Alligator mississippiensis: one gene and its partner. The protein of the gene in region 2 purifies or fractionates together with the protein of the main gene of each other region. This does not show direct contact. Links are inferred from orthologs where the notes say so. Each region holds a gene or a part of one and is shown on either strand. Other genes may lie near its edges.

Evidence for each region. Proteins that work in one complex are often made in the same cells at the same time.
Region 1: the proteins of CHCHD4 (region 2) and TOR1AIP1 purify together in Homo sapiens (co-immunoprecipitation; 3 studies listed by BioGRID and IntAct, with this or other methods). This does not show direct contact. The link is inferred for Alligator mississippiensis from reciprocal best matches to the Homo sapiens genes CHCHD4 and TOR1AIP1.

What each region holds. Positions count from the first base shown.
Region 1 is NC_081828.1:51,637,047-51,644,778, reverse strand, and holds the start of TOR1AIP1 (torsin-1A-interacting protein 1), read right to left. Parts: upstream 3,027-7,732; coding exon 2,252-3,026; intron 350-2,251; coding exon 290-349; intron 1-289. UniProt on the Homo sapiens protein: Required for nuclear membrane integrity. Induces TOR1A and TOR1B ATPase activity and is required for their location on the nuclear membrane. Binds to A- and B-type lamins. Possible role in membrane attachment and assembly of the nuclear lamina.
Region 2 is NC_081835.1:16,918,776-16,926,654, forward strand, and holds the start of CHCHD4 (mitochondrial intermembrane space import and assembly protein 40), read left to right. Parts: upstream 1-4,813; 5' UTR 4,814-4,911; coding exon 4,912-4,933; intron 4,934-4,956; exon of another isoform or gene 4,957-5,257; coding exon of another isoform or gene 5,258-5,276; intron 5,277-7,879. Other genes in the region: TMEM43 (transmembrane protein 43), read right to left, coding at 1,345-1,439, 2,359-2,493, 3,914-4,063, 4,471-4,482.

The sequences.
Region 1 (7,732 bases), on a different chromosome or scaffold from region 2:
TGACACCCCCAACAGCATCCTTGCTGGGAGAATCAATCAATCTTCAAAAATTCTTACAAGATACCAGAGCACTGTTCCCCTTTTGAAAGGTAAACATATGAGGTGCAAGATTAAGTGCCCAACATTATACAACAAATCAATGGTAAAACTGGAAAGGGAACCAAGGCCATCCCCCAGTTCCTACTCCCTGCTTTCACCACTGATCTATACTCCCTAGAAATCTGTTTCAATAGTATTAGACTGCAAGGAGTGAAAAGCTCCTCCACTGGGTGTAGAAATCACTACTTACCTTCCCTTTGAAAACTTCTTATGCTGGGTCGAGTCAATTTGACAAAGGGATATTCACTCCCTAAAACAAAGAATGTGTTAAATGCATAACAAGCTCAAGCACCATGCCATCATTTCTTTCTCCCAACCACTTCAGCCCTCCATTCCATTCCATTCCATTCCATTCCATTCCATTCCATTCCATTCCATTCCATTCCATTCCATTCCTTCAAGAATACTATTAAACTACTCCCTCCCCCACTGCAGGCACACCAGACCCTCAAGCAGTTTGTTCATATGCTTGAGATTTGTGGGACGGGGAGGACAAAGTGAATGGTATATCTAGGGCAAAGGAGCAAGGTACCAGCAGAAGCCAAGAGGAAGGGGAGTGGGAATAGAATAGGCTGTGTATAAAAAAAGGCAAACAAGTATGGTGGACAGGAGCACAGGCATCTATAACTACTATGACACAATCGAATCTAGACCCTGAAAATGATCCCAGGATCCCCAGGACCCAAAGTTTCCCAGCTTTCTGGGAAGTAAGTTTGAATGCCATTGGCAAAGCATCCCTCATCCCTCTGTAATGGATATTCCACGAAGAGGATGCCCATTAATTCAAGTGCTAGAGGTCTGTATTTTGGATGTAGAAGTCAAAATAAGCCTTTGCCTAAAGTAAAAAAAAGCAAACAGGTAGGATTCAATCCTGAATGAGCAATACGATCCAAGAAAAACTCCAAATCCTATCCTTTCGTTCACCATGTGAGAGTGATTTCTGTGAATGCGCCATGTTTAATCATACACCAAATTTGCCCCCCAACTCAACCCTAAAGCATCAGTGATCATAATCTGTGGATTGTCAATTTCCCTTTACATCATTAGTGGATTAAGAAATTAATTTCCTCACACCCAAACCCCTTGCAAAACCCCCAGTCTTGTAAAAGAGGGCAAGAATAATAATAATAAAAAGACAAACCCCAGGGTAACTCCACTCTACTAAGCACAGATGAAACTATCCTAACCATCACGGAATAACTAAACTTCAGGGAACTGTGAAACCAGAGGTCTTGCTACATAGAAGCTTGGAGGAAGGCAATTTCTTTGCAGAAGGTAGTAAGTAGCAGAACGCTCTTGGCTAGAGGTGCATGATACGTCAGTCCAATATCGGATCAGCACCGATATAAAGAAAATCGACTGTATCAGAAACCGGCCTGATGTGCCTGATACTGTGGCAGATAAATGTAGGCAAGGAGAAGAGCTGTGTGCAGCTGGTAAGTCTGTTGTGGTAGAAGGGGGAGTAGGGAGGGAAGGGGCGGGGGACAGATCAGTTGTGGCACACCAGCTCGGTGGCTGACAAGAAAAGAGAGCAAGTGGATGATTCCCTTCATACCTGCCCACTGCCGACCACCCACCCACAATGGCTGGGAAACCATTTGCAGCTCAGCCAAGCCCCAATTTGCACCTCTAGTGATGCAGTACCCGCTCTACCACCTTGCTGGGTGGACTAGCACCTAACACAGTTGGGAACACCCCCGGGGGGGGGGGGGGAAGCTACCCTAGTTCAGGAGACTCCAGTCCATGAAACCTCCCTAGAGATTTTTAGCAGCGACCCCACAGGAAGCTCCTTGTGGCATCGGGCACCAGGCGGGGGGCCTCTCTCGCAGCCTTCCCTACCACCCCGCCGGCGGGCCACGAGCTGCCGACCCGCCCTCCGCGAAGAGCCGCCTCCTGGGGGCAGAGCCGCAGCCGTGGGGGCGGCAGCGGGGCAGGTGCTGCCATCACAATGGCTCCCGCGGCTCGGGGCGGGCGGCGCCTCGGGCATTTCCCTGCTAGCGGAGGGGCTGGTGCCGCCGCACCGGAAGGGAAGGGAAGGGGCCTCCCTGCGCAAGCGGGAAGGGCAGCCACAGCCACCTGCCCTGGGCACGGGGCTGAGCGTAGCCGCAGCGAGGGGCCGGACCAGCCCCCGCCCCAGGGCCCTCCAGCTCACCTGCCGGCGCGTCAGGCATCCCGCGCCGGGGCGCGGTGTTCGACGGCCTCGCCCTGCCCGAGGCCCCGTCTCCCGCCCAACGTCCCGCCGGCGTCTCCCCCGCCGGGGGCCGCTGCCGCGAGCGCAACTCGTAGCCCACACCAGCCGCCATCGCCGCCGCCTCCGTTTCCGTTTCCAAGGAGCCGTAGTCCCGCCCTGTTCGTCCCGCCGAGGGCGGGGCCAGAACGCGCACTTCCGCTCCGCTGTGCTTGGGGCCGGAAGTGCTAGCATCCCCCGGCTCGGCCGCGCCTGGCTCGGGGCCGCCATCTTGTGGGGCCCTCGGCTCGGCGGCGCAGCACGGCCTCAGCGGGGCCCGCGGCGTAGCGTGGGCGAGTGACATGGCTTCGGGCCTGATCCGGTCCGGGTTCGTCTCCCTCTCCCCTCCCTGCGGCCGCCGGGGTGCGCGCAGTCCGGGCCGACGCCGCGTCTGCAGCCGCTGCTTACCGGCGCCGCTTGTGACGGGCAGCGGCTGCGGCGCCGCCCCCGGCTCGGAGCAGCGAGGAGCAGAGCTGGGAGAGCCCGGCCCGGGCGAGGCCGCCCTCCAGCGGGCGCAGTGAAAACAGCCTCCCGGGCGCGACGTGGAGCAGCCCAGAGCGGACCCTTGGCATGAGGCAGGTCCTACCGGACCAGTTGGGCGGCGGGGGCCGGACGGGCTTTCGCCTCTGAGGCGGCAGGACGAGCTTGTGCCGCCTGTGCCCCCGCCATGTTGCCCCGTGGTTTCCGAGAGGCTAAGCATGATCTTATTCCAGCCAGCTCAAGTTCCTGAAAAAAACAGCAACGTGCCTAAGTTTTAAGCCTAAATTGGACAAAGTCACAAAAAGAAGCAAGCGCTCTCTGACGGTAACAGTTTTTCATGGGCTCAAGAAGGTCGGAAAAGGATTTCCTTTACAGCCTCCTCCTACCATTCAGAGATGTTTTACAGACAGTACTTGGATCTGGCCCTAACTCTTCCCTCACCCTGCTCTGCTGAAGACAAGTAGCACAATATTGCTCTTGTGACCTTTGGTAGCAGATCGAAGATAAAGGAGCAGCGTGCGTTAGGTCTGCGCGAAACGGAAGCATTCTGTTTCGACCAACGGTTCGACGGAACAGCGTTTTGTTTCGAGTCGAAACGGCTGTTCCGTATCGTTCTGTGGAAACATTTCTACATTTCGAACCTGTTTTGACATTTCCCCCGTAGGATATAATGGGGAAGGTCAAAACAGGCTATAACTTTGTCATTTCTGGCCTGATTTAGATGAAACTTGCAGGAATGATAGCCCCTTACGAGGGCATGAAGCCTGCCAAGCTTCAAGGAGATAGATGTAGGGGGGTTCAAAGAAACTGCACCCCAAAGTCTTGAGAGCAAAAGTCCTATCACTTGTATGTGTGAAGCCACAGCGGGGTCAAAACTGCAGGCTTGCTAGCCCCTGCTGAAGTAATGAAGCCTACCAGGTCTCAATGAGAGGTGCAGCGGCACTCTGGGTTCTGGGGCCCTACACCTCTGGCTGGTGACAGGCAAAACTCATGACATGGGTGGGTGACTCTGTGTGTTCAGGTGCGCCCTTCCTGGCACTGGGGCCTCTGCACGACACAGCAGTGTGCCCCAGTGAGTCCTCCTCCCCTACAGCCTCAGTCCAGTCTACCACAGTAAATGATGGCAGGTGAAAACGTAGCTGGCTCAACAGCAATAGCACCAGCAGCATCTAAAGTAGCCAAACAACTGTCACAGAGCCTTTCTTGTAAAGGAATTGACAGCAAGAAGTAAAGATGTTGTGTTGGATATATGTTACTCGTGGTGTGTGTGATGGCTTATCCTGTGTTTTTATGTTTGTATGTTCTTTATGAAAAAAAAAGGAATAGAGAAATATCTCTTAGGAAGCTTTCAGGTTGAAAAACCCTTTGTCAGGCTGAGGAAGTACCTGCGGTTGGTGTGTCTCTTGGTCCTGGATGGAAGGAATAGTAAAGAAGCCAGAGGCTGGCCTGGCACGCAATGCAGGCAAGAAAGGCAGTCAGTGAAAATGGAAATGGAGGCGTGAGGGTGAGGGAAAGGGTGAGGTGGAAAGGGGGATGTAAAAGTGCAGAGGTACCTAGGGTGTCAGATGTCCAGCAGGTTGCAGTGTGCCAGAATTCCAAGCACAAACTCAGCTGATTCCCCCTCCTTCCCCAGAATTTCCCTTGCTAGGGCACTGAGATCCAGATCCAGCGCCAGCTCTTCTTCTGGCACTGGAAGGCTCAGCATGGGAAGTGACATAGGGGTGGAGTAGACTGCTGCGATGGTGCTGGTGCTGCTGGTTGTGGTCATGGTGGGGTGCGGTTATGGCTGCTGAGCGTGGAGGGGATGCAGTCTTGGGCGGGGCAGTGGCAGTGGCACCACTCCCCTCTCCTTGCTGCTTTTAGCGGCCTCATCCCTTTCAGCTGGAGGAAAGAGGCTGCGTCTCAGTTTGGTGAGGGGTAGGGGGGACTTACAGCTCTCCCTCTTCCACCCCTCCCTGAAGGCTGGCCAGTGTTGCCACTTGCCTTTCTACCACTCTTCATGAGGTGTTTCAGGACTTCCTTTTCAAGAAATATATAAATGTATTTGTGTTCCTATATAAACTCAAATCTGTACTACTGGTGCAGGCAAGAGATTTATGAACATGGTAGAAATATATATGTCTGTGGATATAAATTCAATAGCGTTGGTATGGTGCAAAGAATGTCCGTATAAAAACAAATATATATAGTAAATTCCTATATAGAATAGGTTCTATAGTAACCCTATCCAATATAAGTATAAAATTCAAAAGAATAAATCAATGAATACAATAATAAAAGCACCTACAAGAAAAAGGTATTCTGAAATCCCTCTCGCTACAGTAACAAGCAGGGAACCCTTTAGAAAATCAGTGCTGCTAGCCCTAGTGGTCTGACAGTGAGCTGCTAGAATAGACAGCTCAATAAGTCACCCAAGGCAGAAAGCAGGAGCAGGTCCAAAAAATGCTGCCTTTTATGCAGTTTTTCTGTCCCTCCCCCAGAGCAATGGGGTTGGAAAGGACCTCAGAGAAGGGTGACAGGCACTGGCCAGTTACACATGTCAATAATGACAGCACTCCTTCCCACTCACCTCTCCCCCTCCATCCCCTTACTTTACTTTCTCTTTCCCCGCAGGGAAGCAAGCCAAGCCATTGAAGGTAAGCCCATAGCCCAGCTTCCTGGTCCAAACTCGAAACGTTTTGAATTTTTCCAAACGTTTTGACCTGCCCTGTTTTGTTTCGACCCTGTTTCAGCCCTGCCTGTTCTGTTTTGACTTTGCTGTTTCGAGGTCGAAATGGCTTGAAACAGCGTTGAAACAAAACGGGCAGCAAAATTTCACACAGCCCTAGTGTGCACCTTCCAGCCAGGCCAGGAGTGAGCGCAGAGAGGAATAAGTCCCTGCAGTGAAGGACTTGCTAGTATAAAATCCCTTGGCTTGCATTATGCGCAGGGGTTAGTCTCACTCATCATAATGATTCCTTCTGGCTTTATCATCATCATGCATCCTGCAGCATTTATATTCTGTTAGTGAACATGGATTAAGGGAATGTTCACACAGTAGGAACTAGATGACATGTTTCAGTAACTTTGAAGAAGAAACTTATAAGAACTTAAACATTTCCTTAAATATGGCTCACCCTGTGCAGTATACTTCCAGTTTTCTAGACAGTATCAGATCACATCTCTGATCCTTTTGCTAAGAGGAGGTTGGGAATTTTAGGCCAGCCTTTTAGTTCCTGTGTCTTGTGAGTAGCTTGTTCTTATGGCTAATTCTGTCAACATCACTATTATAGGGACAGGTAGTATGTTGAATATTGCTATTTTCATTTATAGAAGCTAATTTTCAAACCAGTTCCTAAACTTTTTTTTTTAATAAGCAAAGCTGATTTAATGAAGTGATCAAAAAGGCCAACAGGAAAAGGGCTAGAACCTGTATTTTCTAAATGGACACTGAGTTGAGAAAAATATCTTTCTAACATGCTTCCAACATAACAAATAACAGCAGATGATTATTTGTATTATGGTAGCAACAAAACACTCTAGCTAAGATCAGGATCCCACTGTGCAGAGAGATCAGTGATTTCCCACCTCTTTCAATCTGCACCAGTTCAATGAGAGAAACGCTTCTTTTCCCTTTCCAGTCCCCCAATGGCAGAGAGAATGTTAACTGAAACTTTTATGTGGTACAGTATACCTATGAGAAATATGGGACCCTGCACAATGGTACACACTGCTGGAGGATGACAGAACAGTCTGATGCATTGCATTTAACATGCAGTCTACATTTGCCCAGGGTGAAGTACAAACAGAAATGTGTTTGGTTTTCATTAGAGTCTATACAGTATAGTGGTGGTGTCTCTTGTAGTCTTGCTCCCCACTTTTGCTTCTGGCTGATGTCCTCTGTTGGTTCTCTTTCTACCAATGATAGCCAGCCGTTGACCATCTGATGGTGGTGACCACAAAGTGCCTCATCATCTTGAAGTAGTGCTAGGTATTCTGCAGGCACTCAGGATGCTATCATTGCTTGGATCCCATGCACCAAACACATTGATGCTCAACTCCTGCACCATCACATTGTATCCCTTTCTTCCCAGTGTCTCAGGCTGTACTTCATCAGCTTTCACTCCCAGGTTTTAGCAAAAGCCTGCCACTGGTTTTTAAAGGGGCTGGTCACATCGACAATCAGGATTTTCTTACTATCTTCGTTAGTGATGACAAGACAATGTCCAGTCTCGGTGGGCTGCTGCAGGCTGGGACCATGTGGTTTTTGTCCCTACTGATACCAAGATGACTGGGACCAGCCAGTCCTGTATGGTATTGTTGCAAAGTTGCCATATTCTTGCGTGCGATTTGCAGCCACATGGGACATGGAGCAGAGGCTTGTTCTCAAAGTGGCAGCTCCAGCACCTCGTCCCAGTTGCCATGGAAGGTGCTGTTATGGAAATAGTTGAAGTAAGCTGAATAGGTGAAGCACCTGTCTGTAAAGTGAACCAAGTTTCCCTGAGGCAGAAAGTGGTTGCTGGTATCCCATTTGAAGGTAACCTTGAAGACTTTGCTATGGTTTAGTTTCCCCTTCAAATTGTTGATGTACTTCACCCCATGGCCTGTTCCAGGAACCCCTTTAGGCTGATCCTCACCATGAAGGCACCGACCGTGATCTGGTTGGAGGTTGGGGCTTGGAGTGCCAAAACCTCCAGCTCCCACTGATTTTTGAGCCATGACCAGCAGCAGCAGATACAGTTCCCAAGGCATGATATGCCATTACAGGGGTGGGCCACAGTGAGGTAAGGTCCCCACCATCTCACCTGAAACCTCCTTCCAACCAAGTGCTCAGGAACATGACCAGGTCTTCAGTGGATGGTGGCCTAGCAATCTGCCTTTTGGCAGTCTCTTAAGACTTTAACAGCAACACTGCTCACAGCTCACTGAGGCAGGTCAGAAGGCAAG
Region 2 (7,879 bases):
TTCATCCTCCTCCAAAAAAAAAAATAGAAAAATTTTGATTTTTATCAATTCCAGCTGTCTGAAAGTTGGAGGGGAGGCAGCAACATTGAAGTTTACCTGTAACCTTCTAAAAATTATGTGAATGCCTGTGGATCCATGTTTAGTAACTATACTAACTTAAAACAAACAGTAAAGGCAAATAATATTTTGCTGTTATATTACACCTGTCAATCAAACAGGTAAAGAGTCGATTAAGACTCCTGGTCCCCTGGAAGGAAGGCAGGCATTTGGAAGATTACAGGTAAACTTCAATTGGCTCAATGTTGCTGGGGCACCCCAGAACTTCCAGGCAACTGAAATTGCTAGAAATTATTTTAATACTATTTGTGGGGGGAGGGAGAGCAGGGAAATAACAAAACAAAAAGTTAATGAATTATCCACAAATTAGGTACTTTTTTTCTTCCCATTGTACAGGAGTTTTATACACATGAAAGCAGAAATAGAGAAAATTAAGGATTTGTCCAAAGTCACATACCAACTTACTGGCTGTTGGCAGATCTGAGAGTAGAGTCCACACCTCTGTTCCAAGATGTACGTCATTAACTGCAACAGTGTAAACACTACTTCAAAACATTTCCATTTATATTAGGTAACAGGTATTAGCTGGACAGTTCTGATTTAATACTGGTACTTATTATAGATTTCCCATTTTATACTGTACAGCTTATTTGGTCAACTAAGAAAGTGATTGGCTCATGGATTTGTTTTTGTTTTAATTTAAAATATTTTATTTATTAAAAAAAAGACAGTAAAATACTGAGATGGAGCACAGCTCACAGAGTATGATGGCGTCAATTGAACAGATTTGTGGACTTTTATGAAAATGTAAGGCTCTCTGGATTCTCTTGACATTGCTTGGAACAGAACAGTGTTGGAGACAAGAAGGTAAAGGCTGAGCTGCAGCTGTGGCTTTTAAGCAGGCTGAGATAGAGCTAAATGAGGTAAGGCAGTGGGTGTAAGTTTTTACATCCTCTTGGAGGTCAGGGGATGGGTGGGTGATGTTAGAAGGATTTGTTCATTGTGTTCTGACCCTGCAAGGGGGTTCATCTGCACAAATCTGGGGGTCATAGTAAAAAAACCAAGAAGAAACCTGCACAGAAAACTAAACAAAAGCTTGTGAAATCCCAAGGGTCACATAACAAACAAGACGAAATCCCAAAGTGAAATCACAGGCTGTCACATAACAAATAAATTACATGAAAAAGTTTATCCATCACCCAGTCTATCTTCCTTAAATTTAAACAGTATGTTGGTAAAGTCAAAAAACTAAACTCAGAACAGAGCCTTAAAGCAGCAGCAACTTACTTGGAGTCTTCATATTCTACCCACTGGTACATTTCTACATTACGTTTGAGTTTGACAGTCTGAATGGAAAGCCCATAGCTGGGATCGAACAAAGGCTGTTTAAATACAAACACACACAATTCAGCATAAAAATACCTGCATATTTTTGCTAGCAAAGTTGATCTGTTCAAGTTTATGTTGGGGAAATCATACTTTGTTATGCCACAAAAGGGATTTCATGGAAATGTTTTCACTTCAAAATGTTAAAAAAGAAAAAAAGAACAAAACTCTCAAGACCCAAAGTAAATTTTAAAAAGTGGGGTAATGAAACAATGCATTAGAAACAGTATAATTCTGCACTACTGCTGTGTATCTTTTTTCAGAGGATTTTTAAGAACTCTATTTATGTTAATTATACTTTCCAAAGCCACGTGAATAAAAGGAAATGTGCACATTGGGTGGATAATCAAATTTCACTCTGGTACAAATGATAAATTCCATGAAGTGACTGATATACCAGCAATGGATGCAGTATAAAAAGTCTTGGCACAGGAGGGAGTGCATGCTATCTATTTAGAGCAGTGATAAATTTGGCCTGAAGAAAGTGAGACAAGCCTGTGGAAAGGCAGGCAACATAACCAGGTGTCCTGGCTCACTGTCCCTTACTCAAAGCATTCAACCATGCTTGAACAGATTTAAAATGAACCCTTTGTCTTCTCTGCTGGCCATTATTTCATCATGACATGCCTTGGAAAAAGAACTAACCACAACATAATTATATCTGATCTAACAAGAAGATGTGCAGCTTCCACATCAGATCCTCAAGTCTTTGCATCTTTTTGAATGCAATGACAAGTCCCAAAATCTCTACAGTACAGATGTGAGGAAGAATTGAAAACATCAACATACTCAGGTAGGGCATGTTTAGATTCCAAAGTATTTCTGCATATCAAGTATGCCTGGTTTTAACTGGCAGAAGAGCTTTCCATTCCCTCAACTTATGCACTAATTTTTGGCCACTATTATTTTACTTGCCTTTGATGTTGCAAGGGCACCAGACAAATGCACTAGTTTCCCCTCATTTTGTTGAGACACGGTGCGTATGTTGTCAAGAGGAATTACAAGAGACAAGCCCTCATCAAGAGAGGTGGCTGTCTTCAAAGCTCGTCCCTGCAGTCAATTAAAAGAGAATACAATGAAAAAAAAACGAGGAAGAATCTTGAATTAACGAATGAACCAACCAGAAGACTGTGTCACAAATTCCACAAAATGCTAGCATGATCAGGCACATGGCATGAAACATCTGTACTTATTTGTTGTTTCAATCTTAATGCCCGATTTTTACTTGAAAGAACAATACTTCTTCATGCAACTAAACCACTAAAGTTAATGTACATACTCACCAGCACAATATTCCTACCATGATACCCTAAAATTATTTTCTTCCTTTTGACCTTAGTCACTAATGATAGTATGGATGCTACTATGGCGTTATTTTACCATACAATTATTCTGACTGGTTGATAATATTCCCTTCCTTAACTTCAGGTTATTGCTCTTTATGCTACACACTTCTGTTTGAGATAGCAAAAATTCTTTTTCTTCATTTATGTAGGTAGCATGCTAGAAGCTTTTTGTTTTCTGGGTGAAGCTCTGAAATTTCACCAAATTCTGTCTCCACTCCAAGATTTCCAGTCAGATCAGATTAAAAATACTTTCAGGATAAAGGAAAGCCTTAATCCTGCAAACTCTTATGCACATACTTAAGGTTTGCTAGCACAAGTAGCTCATTTAATTCTGGGAGATGTATTACAGGTAGTGGAGCTGAGGGCCTGAGTATTTGCAGAATCAGAACTAAAATTAGCCTCAAATTAAAACAAACAGTTTGAAACTAGAGTATTAAATAACCTGTAGTATAGCTAATTACTCAGTTTTGTGGAGATTAAACTAGCTTTACACACTTACACTATAGTTCAGATAAGTTCTAACAGTTTTCTGAGCAAGCATGGGAAAGATGGGAATGTAAAAATAAGGTTTTAGGAATATGGTTGCTTACTTACTTGTGGCTACTATTTGTTTTGACACAAGCAAAGCAAGTCAACTAGAGTATGAAATCTATAGCCTCCCCTATGCAATAGTACAACAGAATCATTAACTCCCTTTGTTGTACAAAAGGGGGAAGCGACTTACACGAGAGGCACTTGCACACAGAAGGCATGTGCAAATCCATGTAATGCTCTTCAGTTCCACTTGCCACCTAATATTTATTCATTCTTCCCTGTACTCCACTGCTTACTCTGGATGTTCCCGTCACGTCCCTTCATATTCAGTTCTCAAAAACTCTCATAAACAGCTCTCCTATCCAATATCCTACTCCTCTATTATGTCCCCAACTCAGCCAGTGATAGGATTCAGGCTCTTCCCATATGTTCCACCTTTCTCACACATGAATTAATAACAAAGCTTAGAGGACAGCCCAAATGCTTTGCAGTTTGACATTACAAACACTCAGGTAAGAAAGAATTTGACTGGAAGTGCCATAGACTCGAGACATACAGGAAAACATTGGCTTGACATGCAATTCACATACCTCATTGGTAAAAAGCACGTAGAAAGAAAGGGAAAACGACACAAACCCAATCAGCATCCCCCCAGATGTCTCACTGAGCCGCTCCAGGAACCCTGGTTTGGGCTCACTGGTAATTTTAACATGTTCTTTTCTGCTGCTTGCGTCAGAGACCTGTTAATGGAAAACAAAAATGAAATGTTAGAGACAGCAAACTGGCACGTATGCATGGAAGGATCTATCAAGAAACACGTAGGAAATTTCTAATGATTATCAGTATAACGTGATATATTATATTCCTACCACCACAAAACCACTTGGGGACGGATCAGACCTTTAGTTTAAAATGCACCCACTGGTTTAGATTCTCTCTGTTAACTGCTGCCTTACCTTGTTTTCATTAATTTTTTAATGACCCTGCTGCTCTGCTTTCTGCTCCCTGCCCTGTGCCCCCAGCCTGATCTGCTGCCCCTCCTACGCCTAGCTGCTCCCAACCCTGACCTGCCGCTCTGCTTTCTGCTCCCAGCATCGCCCCCAGGACAGGCGGACACGCGGGGCCCTCGGCGCGGGGCAGCACTTACGTTCCGCGACATCCTCACGGGTGCGGGCACTGCACGATGGCGCGGGGCATGCCGGGAGTTGTAGTTTCGCAGCCGCGAGGCACGCCGGGAGTCAGGCGGGCCGCCGCGAGGCGTGCCGGGAAAGCGAATCCTGGCGCGGGCGGGGAAGGAGAAGCGCGGCCTATGCAAAGCATGCCGGGAGGGGTCATTTGCAGCCGAGGGTGGCCACGAAGGTGCCTGCGCTTAGCTGCCGGCTGAACTCCTCCGAAGCGGCCCTCAGCAGGCAGAAGCAGGGTGCTGGGTGCTCCCCAGGGTGTCCCCGCAGCACCTCGTGCTCCCCCTTTCGCTGCTTGCCAGCAGGCAGTGCGGAGACAGCCTAGGGGCCTTCCTCTCGCAGCGTGGAGACCGGGCGGACGGGGCACCGGTGGGGTCAGTCAGCGCCGGGCGCGCGAGTCCCTCACCATGTCCTACTGCCGGCAGGAAGGTGCGTCCCGGTGGGGGGAGGGCGCCGGGGGGCAGCCTCGTTCCCGTCCGCGCTCTCGCGGTCCTTCGTGGAGCGTTACATGTAACGTGTGTCCTGGCCCGGCTGTGCGCGCAAGGGCGCTGTGAGCCGTGCCGCCGGCTCGGACGGAGAGAGCTCGAGGAGGCGCGGTGCCTTTATCGCTGGTGGCTGCTCAGGCCTAGCTTGCCCGCCTAGCAGGGCGCTGCGACTGCGCTAGAGGGCACGCCCGAGCTGTGCGCTGGGAACCGCGCTATAAATGTAGACCGGCCACACGTGCAAAGTAAGACTGGCTCTGAGCACCAAGTAATGATCGCACCATTAATAGGTAAATCACGCTATAAATGTAGCCCGGACACATGTACAAAATAAGACTAGCCCCAAGCGCCAAGTAGTCATCACACCATTAATAGGTGAATTGCGCTATAAATGCAGACCAGCCCCACGCAGAAAGTAAGACTGCCCACGCCACAAGTGCTTAGTAATTATTGTACAATTTAATTGGTGACTCGCACAATGAGTTTAGACCAGCCATGCTGGCAAAATAACTATCGCTCAATTAACTAGTGATAGTAAAGGGAAGAAATTCCGCTGATACATAGTCTTGAACCATCTTAATTCTTGAACCATCTTAATTCTTTATTTGTAGTGTTTGCATCTTCAGATCCCTGCTCCTCAGTGATGTGAGCTTTGTCCTCGGGTCACAGCAGGGTGTTGTGAGCTCTAGAGGCTGAACCTCAGCTCTAGTTCCATAGGTAGCTAAACTATAAAAATAAATCATTTTTACAGTTTTGACAAGTAACAGTTAAGACTGCTGAAAAGTATCATAGATTAATTACCATATAGGGAAGATAGTTGCTAAAAAAAGACAGTTGTCCCTTGAAGGGCACTGATTCCTCTAGATGACCTTGACAGTAGCAAGCATGCTGAGGTTAATCAAATGGATGTTTTACTGCAAAAATTATGCTCCCTCCCAACTTGTGTGGTGTTCTTAGCTTCTTTGTTCTGGTTTGTGTAACTTGTCTGTTGTGATGTGGGAACATGGCTGCAACCAATTAGATATGTTATGGGACTTATATAAGCTTTCTCCTGCAGAGGACTATTGGACAAGATAAATAATGTGATGTGATACATCAGTTAACTTGTAAGAAATGTTAGGTGTGTTTTGGGAAGGTGGGGTTTTGCATTCTAAACTACGCTATGTTACCTAACTTTTTGAAAGAGACTTCAGAAAAAATCAACAACTTTTTTTTTTTTTATGTGAAAGTTCAGCCATTAAAATCTGGTTCTTTTCCCTTGAGTAGAGTTCCCTTGGTAGGTGTGATCAGCAATAGATGTTTTTAAGGAGCACATGCTCTTTTTAATATGACTTCAACCTTTATAGTTTCATAGTTGGTAGGGTCGGAAGGGACCTGAGGAGATCATCTAGTCCGACCCCCTGCTGTGGCAGGAAAGAGTACTGGGGTCAAATGACCCCAGCAAGGTGTTCGTCTAGCCTCCTTTTAAAGACCCCCAGGGTAGGAGCCAGCACCACTTCTCTTGGAAGTTGGTTCCAGGTCCTAGCCACCCTGACAGTGAAATAGCACCTCCTAATGTCTAGCCTGAAACTACCCTCCGCTAGCTTGTGTCTGTTGTTTCTTGTAACTCCTGGGATTGCTTGGGGGGAACAGGGACTCTCCCAATGCCTGCTGGTCCCCCTTGACTAGTCCCCCCTCAGCCTTCTCTTTTGGAGGCTGAACAGGTTCAGGTCCCTCAGCCTCTCCTCATAGGGCCTGCCGTGCTGCCCCCTGATCATGCGGGTGGCCCTCCTCTGGACCCTCTCCACATCCCTCCTGAAGTGCGGCGCCCAGAACTGGACGCAGAACTCTAGCTGCGGCCTGACCAGTGCTGCATAGAGGGGGAGGATCACCTCCTTGGACCTGCTTGAGATGCATCTGTGGATGTACGACAGGGTATGGTTGGCCTTCCTGACCGTGTCCCCACACTGTCGGCCCATGTTCATTGAGGCATCAGTGATGACTCCGAGATCCTTTTCTGTCTCAACACTGGCGAGAAGGGAGGTAAAATTCACCTTAAGTTGACTGAAGTAAATACACTTGAAATTTTAAAAAATTTTTAGCTATCTTAACTAGCGGTTCATTGATAAAGATTTTTTTTTGGCTCATACCAATAGCCAATTATTAACCAGCCATATTGGCCGATACTGATCCAATAGTCAATGTGCAGCCTGGCTGTTAAGCCTGTGCTGGAGGGGGGAGGGGGAGGAGCAGGCAGATTGACGCCCCCACGATGAGGGAGGAAGTGGGGCTGGGGCAGGCATTGCCCAGCTGGGGCAGGGCAGGGCATGGGGTGGAGCTGCAGGCAGCTTTTCCGGGGGAGGGAGCGGCTCCCCAAAACTGTGCACTGTTTGGGGTGGCATGGGGGGCATGTGCCCCCTGCATTTGTGGGCTGGGCGAGGGCAGGCTGCGAGGTCGGGGCCAAGGGCTTCGCTGGCCACTTCCCAGCAGGAGTGCTGGGCCAGGGCTGCGCTCAGGGCAGGCGAGGGTGGGAGTGGGGGCGGGATGGGCTCAGCTGCACAGGGCGGGCAGCAGCACTGGAAGAGGTGGCATTGGGGCCACGGAGCTATGGCCACCCCAAAGTTCTCCGTCGCCACCCCTTCCGCCACCACTGCTGCCCACCTTGCGCAACTGAGCCTGCCCTGAGTACAGCTCTGGCTCAGCCTCCTGCTGGGAAGAGGTCAGAGCAGCCCCTGGCCCTGAGCCTGCAGCGGGCAGCCCACCCTCACCTTGTACACAAATCTGTGGGGCACAGGCCCCACATGCTTCCCCCAGGGGTGCATGCAGCAGCAGGGAGCTGCCCCCCAGTCCCCCCAGCAAGCTGCCCATGGCCCTGCCCTGTGCCCCACCATGCCCAAGCCCCACTCCCTCCCTC